Linked DNA regions of Schizosaccharomyces pombe. The main gene of each other region encodes a partner of the protein of the gene in region 3 in a complex. Each region holds a gene or a part of one and is shown on either strand. Other genes may lie near its edges. The genes, in order: bos1, sft1, ufe1 and gos1.

Region 1 (3,921 bases), on a different chromosome or scaffold from region 3:
TTGACTTGAATCTAACTTTTACTAATATTAATTTAGGCCAATTCGTCCTCACGCCTGAGCCATCTAGTAATACATTCTATGCCCCCTCTTCGCCTGCTTCTGCAGTGAGAAGAGAGCCACTTTCTCCAATGTCTTTTGTACGGATGCGTTCACATCGCGTTAATAAAATTGGCCGTTCTAGTCAACAATGTGACCATGTCCTATCCACGGTTGATAAAGCAATTTCTCGTGTACATGCTATTGTAACTTGTACACAAGACCGCATGATTATTGAGTGCGTGGGTTGGAATGGGATGATTGTGTCTGATAAAATGAGGAAGTCAGTATTCCACATGAAGAAAAATGATCGGATTGTCCTGGTAAGACCGAATTCGGATGCTTGTCCTGTACTGGATGTATTCGGTTACCGAGTTCTTCTTGGTTGGCCAAGTGATTCTGAAGATGAATGGGAAGGAAATCTTAATGCTAAAAATTATGAAGAAAATCGTGAACCTATGTCTCCTTCACCTCAAGAAGCTTTACCTTTGATGCCTTCATCACCTCCTTCTCAAGACTATCAAAACGATCAGAATCATCTCATATTGTACACTAATTCCGAATCCATTCCTAAGCTAAACTTGCGTAGTAACGAATTAGTATATCCTCCTCCATCCAAAGATTTGTTACAAAAGCTTCTTGCCTTAGAAAAAGATGGTCAGGTGGAAAAGTCTGATTGTTCCAAAAATACACAATTAAAACCATCTTTTCTCCCAAAGAACACCGACGATTTACTCAATGGCACTGATGATAATAACATCGTTTTAAGAGAAGTTAAGGTTTCTTTTGAGAACGAAAAAATCGAGAGTGATGATCTTGATAAAAATGAGGAAATTAGTGAAGGTGAAGAATACACTCCAATTGAAGAGTCAAAAGAGCCTATAACAGTAAGACGGGATAGCGTTATACAAATTGATGAATCGTCCGCTGGACTAACGGACGTTATCTCTGAACTTAATTTTACAAACCATAATGATGACTCAAAGAATTCTAATATTACAACTTCAAATGATTCCCCAGTGAACGAAGTTGAGCCAATGGCTCCTGAATTGAGTTCAGCAGTTGTGGAAAAGAAGGAACCTGAAGACTACGAAAGCATCTCTGCTGTTGATGAGAACACTAATGACAGTAATGAATCCCTCCCTTCTAGCCATGATTACTCAGAATCAACAAAAGAAAATTCAGCTCCCGATAGCTTATTATTAGGATTGGTTTTAGATGAATTGGTTTTCTCAACAACTTCAACTACTCCCCTTCCTGCACTTTCGCATTTATTTCCTTCCAATATGCCACTTCAATTAATTCAGGACAAGCTTCGAGACTTGGCAGCCAAGCACCCCTACTTTGAAGAGGTTAAACGTTACGGAACTGATGCTAATGGTGATCCATTGTGGAGTGAATGGTTTTATAACCCAGATGTGGATGATGATTTAGAACGGCGTATGAGATATGCTCCATTAATGAGACCAGTAAGATCCTCACGTCGTGTACATAAACAATATTATTGGAAAAAGCCCCGAGCTCGTCCACGTTCATCGGGACATTCTTCTAGGCGTCGTCGTCTTTCATAACGAATTGAATGCTGGCATCAGACACGACCCCTATAAAATTTCGCTTTTTGATATTGTATACATTTCGTTATTACGAATGGAATTATTAGATTTTTCAAATGGGGTTCAACAAAATACAATTGAACTCAATAGTGATTTACATTTAATATGAATTTTGGGTAAAAAAACGCATTCTTTTTTATAAAACTGTATTTACAATGTATAGAAATAAATTGCTACTTTAAGCTATTTACAATTTTGATATAGCATTCAAGTAACGTGTTACTTGCTACATGTGTTGTCATATCAAAGACAAGAAAATAAATTACCCTCATATTGGAACCAACTACGGCAAGAGAATGAGCAATACTCTTTATAATCACGTATGTAACTTCCTAAAGTTTTAGAAAACATATTAATTTGTATTTCGCTAGTGTACAAAGTTGTTTCAGTCCATTCAGCGAAGCCTCGATGAGTTAGAACGTGGTGTTCAAGATGAGAGCAACACTATATCGTTAGCTGGAATTCAGGGTATGTGTAGATGAATAATTATGGTACTTATTTTAACCAAGTTATTCATGAGACTAATGCAAATCAATTTAGGCCAGATCTCAGCTTCATTTCTGTCATTATCCAGATCCATTGATGACTACGATAGTATGGTCCAAAGGGAATTGGTTCCCGCTAAAAAAAAAAAAGCTACAATACGAATCCAAGAGTTCCGTCAAAAGCATGTTCAGTTGTTGGAAAAATTTGATGAGTTGAAGGCACACGTTCGTGACATTGCGCAAGCAAAAAATAGAAAAGAATTGTTAGGGAGGCGTGGGTATGTGAACTCTCTTGATAGTCCCTACGGAAATTCAACAACGGATGCAGAAATTGTGGAAGGGCCATCAGATCTAAGCAGACAAGATGGTTTATTAAAGGAGCATGATTTCCTTGGTCGTGCAGAATCTCAAGTTGACGAATTTCTAGAACGTGGGCGGATGATTCTTGGTGATTTAGTTGAGCAGGGAAGCGTTTTAAAAGCTACTAAGACAAAAGTACTGAATGCCGCCAATACCCTTGGCATTACTCGCCATACTCTATCTTTAATCAACCGTAGGTCCAAACAAGACAAGATTATATTTTATTGTGGAGCATTCCTTGTATTTGTCCTCTTTTACTTGATTTACAGGTGGTTACGCTAACATGTTCATGTCGTTGGCTTGTTTAAATTTACTATTCTTATATGATATGGGGCAGTACAACAAAATCAAAGATGATTAAAAAATTTGAAGAGCTTCTTGAGAGTTAAATTTTTTATTAATTATTTTTAAAAATAAGCTATACATTTTGCACTTGTTAGCTTCTCCTTGCAAGCTATTACTGTTGTGTTTTTTTCCTTCTGTTTATGACATTCCACTAATCACGCACTTATGGGCCTTTTAAATCTAATTCTTTCTTTGTGTTTTTTTAAATCCTTAGTTTGTCAATCAATTAATACCGTTGCGGTAATGCTTGACTAAAACACCTTCTCTTCAGGCGGTTGCTTTGAAATGCTTCAATTGTGATTCCATTTCATTTTATTTTAATATCCAAGAGAAAATTAACTTACCAATGGGCAATAGTTTTTTTTCCTTAGTTTCTTCGTAATTTGCTCAGTTAAGCTATGTATTAAAAATAATAAAATAGACTAAAACTAATTGTCATCACGAACCGTTAGTTGACGACTGTTTTACACTATTTTTATTGTCAACCGTTTTCAATGCAACTTAAGAATTTGTCGAAAGCCAATTGAAATTTGTATTCATATATATTAATTTTGTACCATATATATTGTAATAACTGTATTGGATGAAGTTAACTTTTACTAAAGAAACTCGAGACACGTTTGTTAAAATTAATATCGTTAGCGATTATCCTTTCGTATACCATAATACACCAAACTATCCTCCATTCTCATCTTTTTAAATATCTAGCGCCAATATTTAGTAATTCCTATAAGAATTATTTAATGTTTTTAAATAAGTATATATCAAACTATTCCAGAACCAGGGCTGTGAGCTGCGCTCCAGTTCTATCATACAAGAAATGTAGTTATCGAAATTTCAATGGTTTATTACAGGCAAGATTTCAAAGCAACAACTTGAGTTGGTCCAATAGAAACAGAGTGGTATATAAATCATTTCAGCCCAATCCTAGAGACAAGAGGTTTCAATGGATTTTTGGTGCTCTTATTGCAGGAGGAGGTGTATACTATTTTACACATTTGGAATACGTTCCTATAAGTAACCGTCGAAGGTTTAATGATGTTTCTTTAGATTTTGAAAAGCGAATGGCACAAGACGCCTAC
Region 2 (2,942 bases), on a different chromosome or scaffold from region 3:
TCTTCTTCGGGTATAAGCCCATCTCACAGTAGTGCTTCTTTAGCTCATCTTTCTCAAGCCTCCAATCCAAATGGATCGTCTTCTGCCCCGCATAGGCCCACATCAGCTCGTGTAGGAAGTCACCGAAACGCACTAGACGCTTTAAGACGGGCGCGTATGCTTCCATCTGGATTTTCAAGAAGAAATTGAAGTTTTGAGCACTATTTTTAAATTTTTGCGCAAACATCGGAAAAAGAGTATTCATTACCTGTACTTCCGTACATTTGAATGCTGTGTTCTTAAAAAAGCCTAAATCAATACAAACATCTCATGGTCTGCATGCACAAAGCTTGAACGTGAAGCTAAGGTGTTAAAATTTTTATTATTATTTATTTTTGTGCCCTTCCTTTTGATCTTTTTTTTTTTTTTTTTGCCGGTTGAAGGTGAATGAATACTTAGTTTGTGGCACAATGTCATGATTCTATTCAATTAGTACTGCGTCTCTTTGCTTAAAACTCTTTCCTAAAAGTGAGGAATATCAAGCTTAATATGGATATACAGTCATAATTAAATTTTTTATTATTTTTACTTTTATGGTGGACTTATTGAAATTTCGAGGAAGGAGTAGTATTTCGTTAAGAATATTTCATGTAATTCTGCGCTTATATTTTCAAATTTATCTTCAGAATATTCATCGATAAATTTATTGCCTATAAGAATTCAAAGCTTGTACATTTTATAATTTTGAAGCAGGAGGTTATGTCATTATATCCGTTCCTTTATGTAGCATTCGCTTTCATGTCGTGTTAAAAAAACCATTTGGATGCATAGTAGATTATTAGTATACTCCCTACGATTGCCAGCACCATTGTCATGATTCTTCGTCGTCCGGCACTTCGAACCACACGGAAGAAATTTTCGGTGGATTTTTTAACAGAATTTGAAAGTCCTGAAAAGCTTTCAGTCTATAATAATACAGGTTAGGTAAAAACTCAAATTTTTTTTTTTAAATTACATACAGCCCGATCAATTCGAGTATAGTCATTGGCACGGGAATAAATATCGTAGGTTACGTTTTTCAAAGAAGAAACCTGCCCAGACAGAGTTTCCAAACGCCGCTCATTTTGATCATTCATTATAGAAATAACTTTTACAAAAATGAATGTACATACGTTAGCATCTTTCTATATCACTTGGAGTACTACCAAAATTTAACGACATTTAGGACGTGGTGATAAATCCTTTAACGAATCTCCTAACTTGATTCTATTTTCGTCGAGCTCAAACATAATGTTATCTACAATTCTTAGCATCAGCCGCCTAATTATTGCTTTATCAAATGCCAATATCGATCGGACTACTTATTAGTAGGTAAATGGTTTGGAAGTTCATCGTTTCCATCCATTTTTAATGAGCAGTAGGATCCGTTCTTTAACATCTGAGTTATTTGAGGAATTGCTATTCATCGCTAAGTCAAAACATATAATATATTTGTATAGGTACTCGCTACCAAAATATTTGGATCCATTACTGTTTCCTGTTTCCAAGTAAAAGGGTTTATTTATCCGCTGCGTTTTAGACTCAGGACACACTATCTTTCTGCAATACTTTTGAACCTGAATTCATTCAATAAATTGAATTCGACATCATATAATATAAATTTTTATTTTTTACGTTTGAATTGGATTTTTTGTTTATAATTGCATTGTTTTAAGAGATTAATAATTCATTTATTGTTCTCATGAGTGTTCGGAAACGGTACAAGGTTACTTATGTTCTTGATTCCTGTAACGATCAACTAGGGCACCGTTTGGATGCTAATTGTCTAGTGCTAGGTCGGTACTTTTCAGAACAAGGGTCAGCACCAGTTACTAGAGCACTTTACAGTGGTGGCCGAGATGGACAGCTTTTCGGTTGGGACATCGGGTATGATTATGGTAAAGCTTCCCAGCCCTTAGCCAAAATCCAGGCTCATTCTGCTTGGGTAAATGATATAGCTTTAACACATGATTCCGAAGGAGGTAAGCCTTTGAAAAATTTAATTATCTCTGGAGAATAGCGGTAGCCTTATAGAAATTGACGTTCTAACATTTATTAGTGATATCTTGTTCTTCTGATTCAACGGTGAAACTCTGGAAGCCACATGTCTTGAATGCTTCTTGTTTATCAACAATTGGCGAGCATACCGACTACGTAAAGCGCGTAAGCATTCCCAAATATTCCAAGAGTCCGTTAGTCGCTTCGGGTGGGTTGGATAAAAGGATAATTGTATGGGACTACAACGTAGGTCAAGAAGTTATGCGATTTGAACAGTTACCTGACTGTTCTCTTGTTGTTGGTCCAAGATCTGGTGTTTACTCGCTGGCAGCGAATAACAACATAATTGCTAACGGCGGACTACAAAAAGACATTCAGTTATGGGATTGTGTTTCCAAGAAAAGGATTACAGATTTAGTCGGTCATACTGACAATGTTCGAGATATTCTAATTAGTGATGATGGCAGAACAATTCTCACAGCCTCTTCAGACGCTACAATAAAGCTTTGGTCTCTAAGGGCGCAAAAATGTTTATTCTCTTTCATAGCTCATTCAGACAGTGTATGGGCATTATATTCTGAGCACCCAGATTTAAAAGTATTTTATGCTGGTGATCGCTCAGGCTTGATTACTCGTACTGATATAAGAAACCAGCCTAACAACCAAAGCTGTACTGCAATATGCAAGCAGGATGCTCCTGTCTCTGACATTGTTGCTCGTCAATCTTTCATATGGAGTACTAGTCGTGATGGCTCCATTCTTCGTTGGAAGGATGAGCCCCTCTTTAATCAGGACGTGGGAGCAGCATTATCTAAGCATACCTCATCTCATCTTTCTGTATCATCGGACTGTCCCTCGAGACATTCTTCTGACATACGAAATCATAGCTGTCCAACATTATATCACGACGATGCTGAGGATATATA
Region 3 (3,813 bases):
TCAACTGTTTGAATTTTTGTTTCCATTGTCAAGGAAGAAAACCTAAGTTTCTGGCTTACTGAGGCCAATTTTGCTATAAAATTGTAATACTTCAGCTTGTTTTATGTTAATTGATTTAGAAAGAAGAAGCTAAATGCTGATAGAGAGAAGGGTGAAGTTGATTGCTATTATTAAGTTGAAGCGCATCATTGCTGGTTGTCGACTCTTGCAAAGTAAGAGAAATAATTGTTGAAGATATATTTAAAAACTCAAGATTATTTTACTCTAAATACGAAAATAAAATCTCGTTTGAGAAATTTTACTAGAGTAGTGATTGACGACGATCTTTACTTAAAATTTGAATTTAGCTACAGAGGTTGTAAAAAAGAAATGTAAGCGCGACAATGATTTCACGAATGAAAAGAACCCACTTACTGTTTTTATTTGTGGGTTTTTTTTTATCGTTTCTGTTATTTGGCAGGGTAAGAATATATTCTTCCAATACATCCCTTTTGACTAAGCATTTAGTTAATTTGCTAATGTCCAATGCATCAATCTAAATTATATAGCTGAATGTTTAACAAACAAATTTGACTTTGAATTAATCGAGACTGATTGTGAACTTCTATAAACATTCGATCATACTAGATTTTTCAAGCTACAATTTTACCATAATCTATTTCATAGTAAATGGCCAGAAAATTTTTGGAAAACTAACGTACCCAAGATGAATTATAAGGAATTTTTATTTGGGCGTGCAAGGAATGGTCGAAAGAATAAGCATAAACATTATATTTACATGAGATTATAGACATGAACTTCACATGATCAAAGAAGAACGAGTTTCATTCCTTTGTCATTATTGTTACAATATAAAGTTTCAGAAGAATGAAGAGAATTAAACAATACGATCCAAGGATAGCAATAAAAGTCCCATAACGGTAAAGATGCAAAAAAGCAGACGAGCGGTCCGACTACTTCTAGATTTGGCCTTGATTAGTTGTTGATTACCCCCAGACAGCGAATCCATGACATTAAGGGCATCATCATAAAGTTTTTCAGCCGCACTTGATTGAATAGATAGTTGAGCGGATATTTCCGACTGAAGTCTAGTAATATCAGCCAAAGATTTCCCTGTATCACGTAAACGTTCCATAGTATGTTCAAATTCTTGGAGTAAAACATCGTTCTCTTGCTCAAGTTCTTGAAGTTGCTGTTGAGTAAAAAATGTTTGTAATTCAGATTCAGGGATCTCAACAGCTGAATTTTCATCAGTAGGATTTTTTGTTAAAAAGTCTGAAGCAATGTTTCGCTTTTCCTGACCTCGTTTTAATCTCAGATCTTGTAAATGATATAGAACAGAAGAAACATCGGAAAGTTCAGACTGCAGATACCACAGAACAGATGAATGGTGGGCGACTAAAGTTTCCTTTTTCGATAATTTACTAGGGTCTCTTAAACCTTGCAGCCAACCACTTTTTTTAGGGATTTGACTTTGTTGTTCTACTCATGCAATTAGCAAGCATGTCCCTGTGTTTTGTTTATAATTTAAGTAAACATAATTTTACCAGTATTAAAATTTTAAGCTTACCTTTCACAATCTCCTGCAACTTAGCTATTTGATGAATACAGCTACTGATTGCCGAAGAGACTTCATGTTCTATTTCATCCCTTTGAACCTCATCTAGCTCAAGCTTTGAAAGCTCCTCAAGTGAACACTCCATTAAAGGTTTTGAGAGTCTTTGGACATTTGAAAATGTTCTGTCCTTTAAATAAGCTCCACGAATCTTTTTCAAAAATACTAGAAGATTAACAATCGTTTCATGCTGCTAACGTTAGCAATTTGAACTCTCTGATTAGATATAGAAAGCAATAACAAAAGTTAATACTGTCAAAAATTTAAACCAATCCCACTCAATAATTAATCGTATATTATGGTAGCGCATCTCCACAGTGATCAATTGAGTTGAGGTTAAATTTCCGATTGGTTCAATAATTACAGAAAACTCGTCCTCAAACTTACAATTCTATATCCTTCAGCCAAAAAAGGATCCGTATAACTTATTCTTTTCAAAGGAATGTTTGCTGCATCAATGTCGCCATTTTTTGTTAATCCAAAAAACTCATTCGTACGACTCGTCATTCAGAATTTGAGATGCTAAGAAAGGAGAAATATAAATCCCGGGTTAAATGAATTTCAAATTAACAGAACAGATGTTTAGAAAATGGTAGCATTCCATATCCCCTTATGAATAGTGACACGGTAAACGGAATTGAGAGACTTAAAGGTGCTCGTAACAAATGTTCAAAAAAGCAAAAAAAAATACTCCATTGTACGAGTTTTGTTTATTTACTTCAAGTCGATGTCTACAATAAATGAAATTAAGCTAAAGTTTCGCAATTTTTGAAGTATTTAGAAATGAGCTATTTTCAAGTAAACAAACAAACGTAACCAGTTATACACCTCACAAGAATGGAGCGCAGTCAAATTGTTTACAATTTTTGAGTTATTTTTAAAAATTTAGCTTGAAAAAAGTTGTTTGTGTCCTTTATCTCGAAGAAATAAGGTTTTTGTTTTGCTGGTGTTGAGGTTGCTATATAATAACATGGTTTGGGCGACATAAATTCATCCTTTACCAACGCTCTTCGAAACGTTAAATTTGCATATTTATCAAGCATTTTATTGCAATAAGGCTAATATTATTAACTTTAATTGATTTTAACCTTCAGTATTTGCTTATTGTTATACAATATACAGTGATTACCCCTTTTTCTAAAAAGCTGTACTTTCGCATCACATCTGATACCTGCGTTCCTTTCAACTTTTTAATATAATCATCCAAACGATTTTAAAATCTGGTTGACATTACCGCGGAGCTTTAAGCTCTGCATTACGATATATTTTCTCTTTCACCAAAGATTGCTTTCTTCCTTACCATTTATTCCTTAATCAGCTTCGTTAGTATCTTTTTTACAACCAAATTACCAGTTTGGTATGTTAATTCATAATGGCATCTAAAATGCCTGAAGGGTCTCCCCCTACTAGTCGTTCTATTCAATCTCGAAATTCCAGTTACTCTACCTCTTCCAACGAACGTATTGGAACACCCTCTACGATTTCCCTATCTGAAAATTCAGATCTTTCTAAATTACAAAGTACTAATGATTTTGAGTCGCGAGAAGATCTCTCTCTTACTTCCGATGACAATAATGACCCCGAATATGTTATGTGCTACAACACTGTTTATCACCAAAAGACAAAAATAAATGATAAACTTTTATCCGAAACTGAGCAGTTACGTAAAATTTATCCTTTAGAATCCCGTGTATTTCCAAAACCTACCATTGTTAAAGAGATTACCAACGAGCGAACCAAGCGCTACACTTTTTATGACGATGATGCTCCTCTTACTAACCAACATACTGTTTTAGATGAAGCAACTTATAATCGAATTTTAAAAAGGATAGACTTTTTCATTGAAAAAGTCGTTGAAGTCCCACCTACTTACCATTTTTTATCGCTATTAAACGTTCAATTACGTATTCAACCAATTTGGTGGATGGATGAATTTGCTGAAAGAAATGGTATTGAAAGTTTACTGTCTGCTTTAAGAAACCTGGGTCACTATCCTGAACGTGCATCTAAAACACCTCTTGAATCCCAAATAATACAGTCATTATTTCACTGTTTGAACAGCGAAAACTGCCGTCGTCGTTATCAGTCTTCAGCTAAATGCTCTGTTCCAGGATTTAATGCTCTAGGTACTATTGCTGAGACTGTGCTTTCAAAAAGTTTAAATTCAGCTCGCATGGCTACTTTTCTCCTTAAATTCC
Region 4 (4,399 bases), on a different chromosome or scaffold from region 3:
CACTAACTACTTTAGTAGGTTCACTTTCATAAGTGGTCAACCCCCCCACATAGTACTTGAGGTAGTAGACGAAGTCATAATTGCTATTCAAGTGAGTAATGTCTTAAAGAGAATATGGACCCCCCATTAGTACTTTCTAACCCACTTGGAAATTGAAATTGCTTTGATTTTTAAGCATTATGAATTAATATAATATTAATGCGTATTAGCTTATATAAACGATTACTAAATTATATTCTCATAGTTTTTCATGCATCTACATAAACAGTCGGCAGGGACGTAAAAAGCTACTCTTTTAACTATGATTTTGTATTGTAGTACATTAAGAAGGGTAAGTAAGGTCTTTATATTGTAATCTCTACGCCCTGGTTGACAGCTGTTTTAATAAGCTAGAATTTTTCGCTAAATGAGTTTGCTTTAAACATTGAATTAATTAGAAAGGTTTGTATTGTTCATTATCTCAGCATTCCATTTCCTATCCTTACATGCACGTTCAATGTAAGTTGAAAAGATAGTATTCAATGAAAGATTCGCAATCCAATGAAAAGCCAATTTTAGTCTTGAATTATATTACAATGAAATTAAAAGGAGAAAACCTTTATCGTAGATATATACTAATGTCCAAAAACAAATTAAAAAACCAAAATGAAAATTAAGATATGAATTTTTAACGTCAGAGTACTTCCACCTGTAACAACAGCTCCTTTCTGCTATACCTATCTATTGAAGTTTATAATAATAATTAAGTTCATCCTTGCGTTTCTTAAATCGCATAATAAATTAAAGATTATTTCCCCTTTAATCTACCTATAATTGGTAAACATGGCATATAATTATTTAAAAAATTTAGTCATTCCGAGGTTGATTGTTAAGCATCAGTTCAAGTTGCGTTCTTTTAGCACCAAAAGTCTCAATGATACAAAAGAAAAAGCCCCATCTGCTCTCATTCCAGTAGGTTTACTGGTAAAACCGACGATGCTTTCTGAAGTCCAAAAGCCAACATTATGGGAAAAACTTACCAAACCCGCGAGTACATCTTCTCCTGAGCAAAGACAGAAGGAGCTGCTGAATGAAATGAAGAGATCAACTATTCAAGATTTCAACGAAGTTCGTCGATTTAATGGTAAGCTGTTTTACAGTCCTCCAAGATTATTTAAGGAGAAGGTATGAACAATTGGTTAAAAGTAATATTCATTTCTGGAAATTTCAAATAAGAATGAAAAAAAATTAGTTTATTGCTTAAAAATATTGACACGTTTTAGAGCGCCTTATGGATGTACAACTTTCATGGGAAGTCATTACGAAATCAGTACAAAGAGCTATATAAAGATTGGCAAGGCTCGCCCTTTTTCTTTGCATTATTTAGCAACGCGTTTGGAGAAAACCAATGTAGGAATTGGATTCAACATCTAGCTCCATTTGATTATCTGCCAGTTCGTTATGCAAATGTTCAATCCAATCTAATAAAATATTGGCTACAGAAGATATTTATAGGAAAAGTTAAAAGATCAATACCAGAAAAGTGCTGGGTAAGTAGACGCATTATTTGTCCAAGCTGCTCACAAGTTTGTTCGCTTGATAAGATAGATTTATTTACTTCCAAAATTTATAACCTTTTGCTAACTAGCAGAATGAATATATTACAGCATACGACAATAAGTTCAGTTTCCCAGAAATAGGATGGAACAACAAACTTGTTGGAAATGTGTATTTAATTGACGATTCCTGCAAAATTCGCTGGCTTGGAACCGGTGATCCAACTAATGTCGAAATTGAAAACCTGAAGACAGCGATTAAGTTTTTGGTAAATAAAAACGTTGGTTAAAAGTAAAAGGACTTTTATATTATTTCATCTTAATTAAACCTTTATGACATATTCATAACTTTGGCGGGATCAATGCCCTTCATAAACGTTTCATAAAACATGCAACTTAATGAAAAAAAAGGAACAAAAGCATCAAGACAGATATGAGTAAAGCTAAAATGATAGAATCACGTCTTCGACGGATCGAGGTTTTCCTTAATATTTGATTAATAAAAGGGATTGACATGGCCGCCCCGTTTATGCGATTGGTCACATTTCCTAAGACGCTATTTTGGTAATCAAAGTCTTCCCTCGTAGCATAAGCTCTTTCAAGAAGCTCATTAGTGCCTCTAATAGAATTGTCTAAAGAGTTTGCCTCTTGCATTTCTAAAAAGTTTTGTGCATCTCGTAATTCTTCAGGAGATAGAACTTCCTGTTTCGCATCATATTTTTTCAAAACGCCATTAAGAAGTTGCTCATCTCGTTTTAGTCTTTCAAAATGTGATTTGATAGTAGCCATTGAATGCGAGTCATTTTCGTCAGCTGAAGAGTTGGCTTCTTCAAGAAGCTTCCTTCTTTCCTCTAGCAGAATTTTAGCTTGGTTAGGATCACTGTGCAACGATCTTTGGAACTGAGACGCTTTTTTCACCGAATCTCTCAAAAGCATAGACTTCATGGCTAAAGAGATCTTCAAATTTTTATAAGAGAAAAATTAGTAGCTTAAGTTATGATTTTAAAACAAACGTTTCTCTTCTGTTGATTAATGTGGCTTTCAGATGACGTTCTTACTAGTATGTAGTTTAGAGAAGTATCCCACTACGTAGAGATTCCTAAATATACCAGTGATAGAAAAGCTATGCTACTAGAAAACATTGTGATATTAAGATAGGATATTTTTCATTCAAAATGAATTTTAAGCATTAAATTAACTACGCAACCAACATTGCATTGTTATGGTAAATATCAAAATTATTTTGAAACATGAAGCTCGTGTCTCAACCAACTTTCAGTCGGTGACTAAACTGATGATTTTTTGTTTCACAAAAGATTTTAAAACTTTTTTATTAGAGAGCCAACGTTTCCCATCATTCGTCTCAAGCACAAAATTTAGTATTTCATTTTCATCATTGAGTTTGGGCATTTCAATCTTAAATCTCACCTTACCATTAATTTGGACAGGAATAGTAACGGGCTCCTCCATATTCTCCTTTTTATTTTTGGAAATGGGCCAGTTAGAGTAAACGGAAGAATTATGTCCTAGCAGCAACCAACACTCACTTGAAAAACAAGGTATTATTGGAGCAATACATTTCACAAGCACTTCCAAAGATGCTTTAATTGTTCCGATATTGACTTTGTTATTTTTTAAAGCATCTGCTATATTATTAGTCAATTTCATGGCGTCAGAAATTACTAAATTGAGAGAAAATACATTTTCATAATGAGCAGAACATTGTGAAATAAATTCATTATATTGTGATTCGAGTTTCCTGCTATTGTGATCGTCGACAATAGTTAACTTCGTTTGTCTCATCGCATCAGACATTTTTTTCTCACGTTCCAATAACTGATGAACACAATTCCATATTTTGGTTAACCACCGTTTTGTTCCCATTATTGCATTTTCATTCCAAAGGAGTACGCCTTCCACTGGAGCTGAAAATATTATGTAAGCTCTAATAATGTCTGAGCCATATTTTTGAATAGTACGTATCGGATCTACACCGTTATGCTTGCTTTTGCTCATTTTCTGGTAAGAAAGTTGAACTTTCTCTTTAGGATTACTGATTAGAAAATATTCGTCTCCAATTTTCTGGACTTCTTTTGGATTAAGTATTCGTTCATCCGACATCGTTGTATAAGTAAGACCATGAACCATCCCCTGAGTAATTAGTTGAGTAAATGGTTCATTTAAATATTTATCACCATTCCATAACCCAATATCCTTCATGAATTTTGAAAAAAACCTGGAATATAGAAGATGAAGTATTGAATGCTCAACGCCACCAATATAAATATCAACAGGCATCAAAGAGGACGCACTTGCTAAACCTACAGGAAGCTCCGAGTTTTTAGAATCCAAAAAACGAAAATAATACCATGATGAGTCTACAAATGTGTCCATAGTATCAGTTTCTCTTGTTGCTGGGCCATGACATTTCGGACAGGTTGTTTTCATCCATGTTTCTAGATTTGATAACGGCGAAGTACCTTTTTCATATATTTTATCAAGATCAGGCAACTTTACAGGAAGTTCAGATTCAGGGACTGGGACAGCACCACAGGTTTCGCAGTGAACCATTGGTATAGGAGTACCCCAAAATCTTTGTCTTGATATAAGCCAATCTTTGAGTCTATAATTTTTAACACGTTTGGCTAATTTCTTCTCTTCAAGGTAACTGACAATCTTTTGCTGAAGCATTTTTTGCTTGATATCCATTAAATTCGAAGAATCATGATGATTCAAAAGTTCTTTTCCCTCATTTGTAAAATATGAACCTATACAACTTTCTTTAGAAAATATTATGTTATTACGCTTAGCAAACTCAAAATCTCGGCGGTCGTGAATAGGTGCGCCCATAACGGCGCCAGTAC

Evidence for each region.
Region 1: ufe1 (region 3) and bos1 share a complex: the UniProt entries of both Schizosaccharomyces pombe proteins name them as parts of the SNARE complex.
Region 2: ufe1 (region 3) and sft1 share a complex: the UniProt entries of both Schizosaccharomyces pombe proteins name them as parts of the SNARE complex.
Region 4: ufe1 (region 3) and gos1 share a complex: the UniProt entries of both Schizosaccharomyces pombe proteins name them as parts of the SNARE complex.

The regions. Positions count from the first base shown.
Region 1 is NC_003424.3:1,923,157-1,927,077, forward strand, and holds bos1 (SNARE protein Bos1), read left to right. Parts: upstream 1-1,924; 5' UTR 1,925-1,945; coding exon 1,946-1,969; intron 1,970-2,010; exon of another isoform or gene 2,011-2,020; coding exon 2,021-2,117; exon of another isoform or gene 2,118-2,189; coding exon 2,190-2,776; 3' UTR 2,777-3,383; downstream 3,384-3,921. Other genes in the region: tos4 (transcription factor), read left to right, coding at 37-1,607; metallopeptidase Oma1, read left to right, coding at 3,583-3,921. UniProt on the Schizosaccharomyces pombe protein: SNARE required for targeting and fusion of ER-derived transport vesicles with the Golgi complex.
Region 2 is NC_003424.3:413,686-416,627, forward strand, and holds sft1 (SNARE protein Sft1), read right to left. Parts: upstream 1,155-2,942; 5' UTR 1,116-1,154; coding exon 999-1,115; intron 945-998; coding exon 786-944; 3' UTR 560-785; downstream 1-559. Other genes in the region: rod1 (arrestin/PY protein 1), read left to right, coding at 1-189; bun107 (WD repeat-containing protein), read left to right, coding at 1,721-2,000, 2,078-2,942. UniProt on the Schizosaccharomyces pombe protein: Vesicle SNARE required for retrograde transport within the Golgi complex.
Region 3 is NC_003421.2:1,000,143-1,003,955, forward strand, and holds ufe1 (SNARE protein Ufe1), read right to left. Parts: upstream 2,192-3,813; 5' UTR 2,123-2,191; coding exon 2,003-2,122; exon of another isoform or gene 1,975-2,002; intron 1,840-1,974; exon of another isoform or gene 1,806-1,839; coding exon 1,571-1,805; intron 1,483-1,570; coding exon 878-1,482; 3' UTR 570-877; downstream 1-569. Other genes in the region: SUA5/yciO/yrdC family protein Sua5, read right to left, coding at 1-26; formin For3, read left to right, coding at 2,988-3,813. UniProt on the Schizosaccharomyces pombe protein: Syntaxin required for targeting and fusion of Golgi-derived retrograde transport vesicles with the ER.
Region 4 is NC_003424.3:779,568-783,966, reverse strand, and holds gos1 (SNARE protein Gos1), read right to left. Parts: upstream 2,607-4,399; 5' UTR 2,481-2,606; coding exon 1,932-2,480; 3' UTR 1,826-1,931; coding exon of another isoform or gene 1,631-1,825; 3' UTR 1,530-1,630; coding exon of another isoform or gene 1,263-1,529; 3' UTR 1,165-1,262; coding exon of another isoform or gene 823-1,164; 3' UTR 548-822; downstream 1-547. Other genes in the region: atp10 (F1-F0 ATPase assembly protein), read left to right, coding at 823-1,164, 1,263-1,529, 1,631-1,825; SPOM_SPAC4G8.09 (leucine--tRNA (Leu) ligase), read right to left, coding at 2,811-4,399. UniProt on the Schizosaccharomyces pombe protein: Nonessential SNARE involved in retrograde transport within the Golgi complex.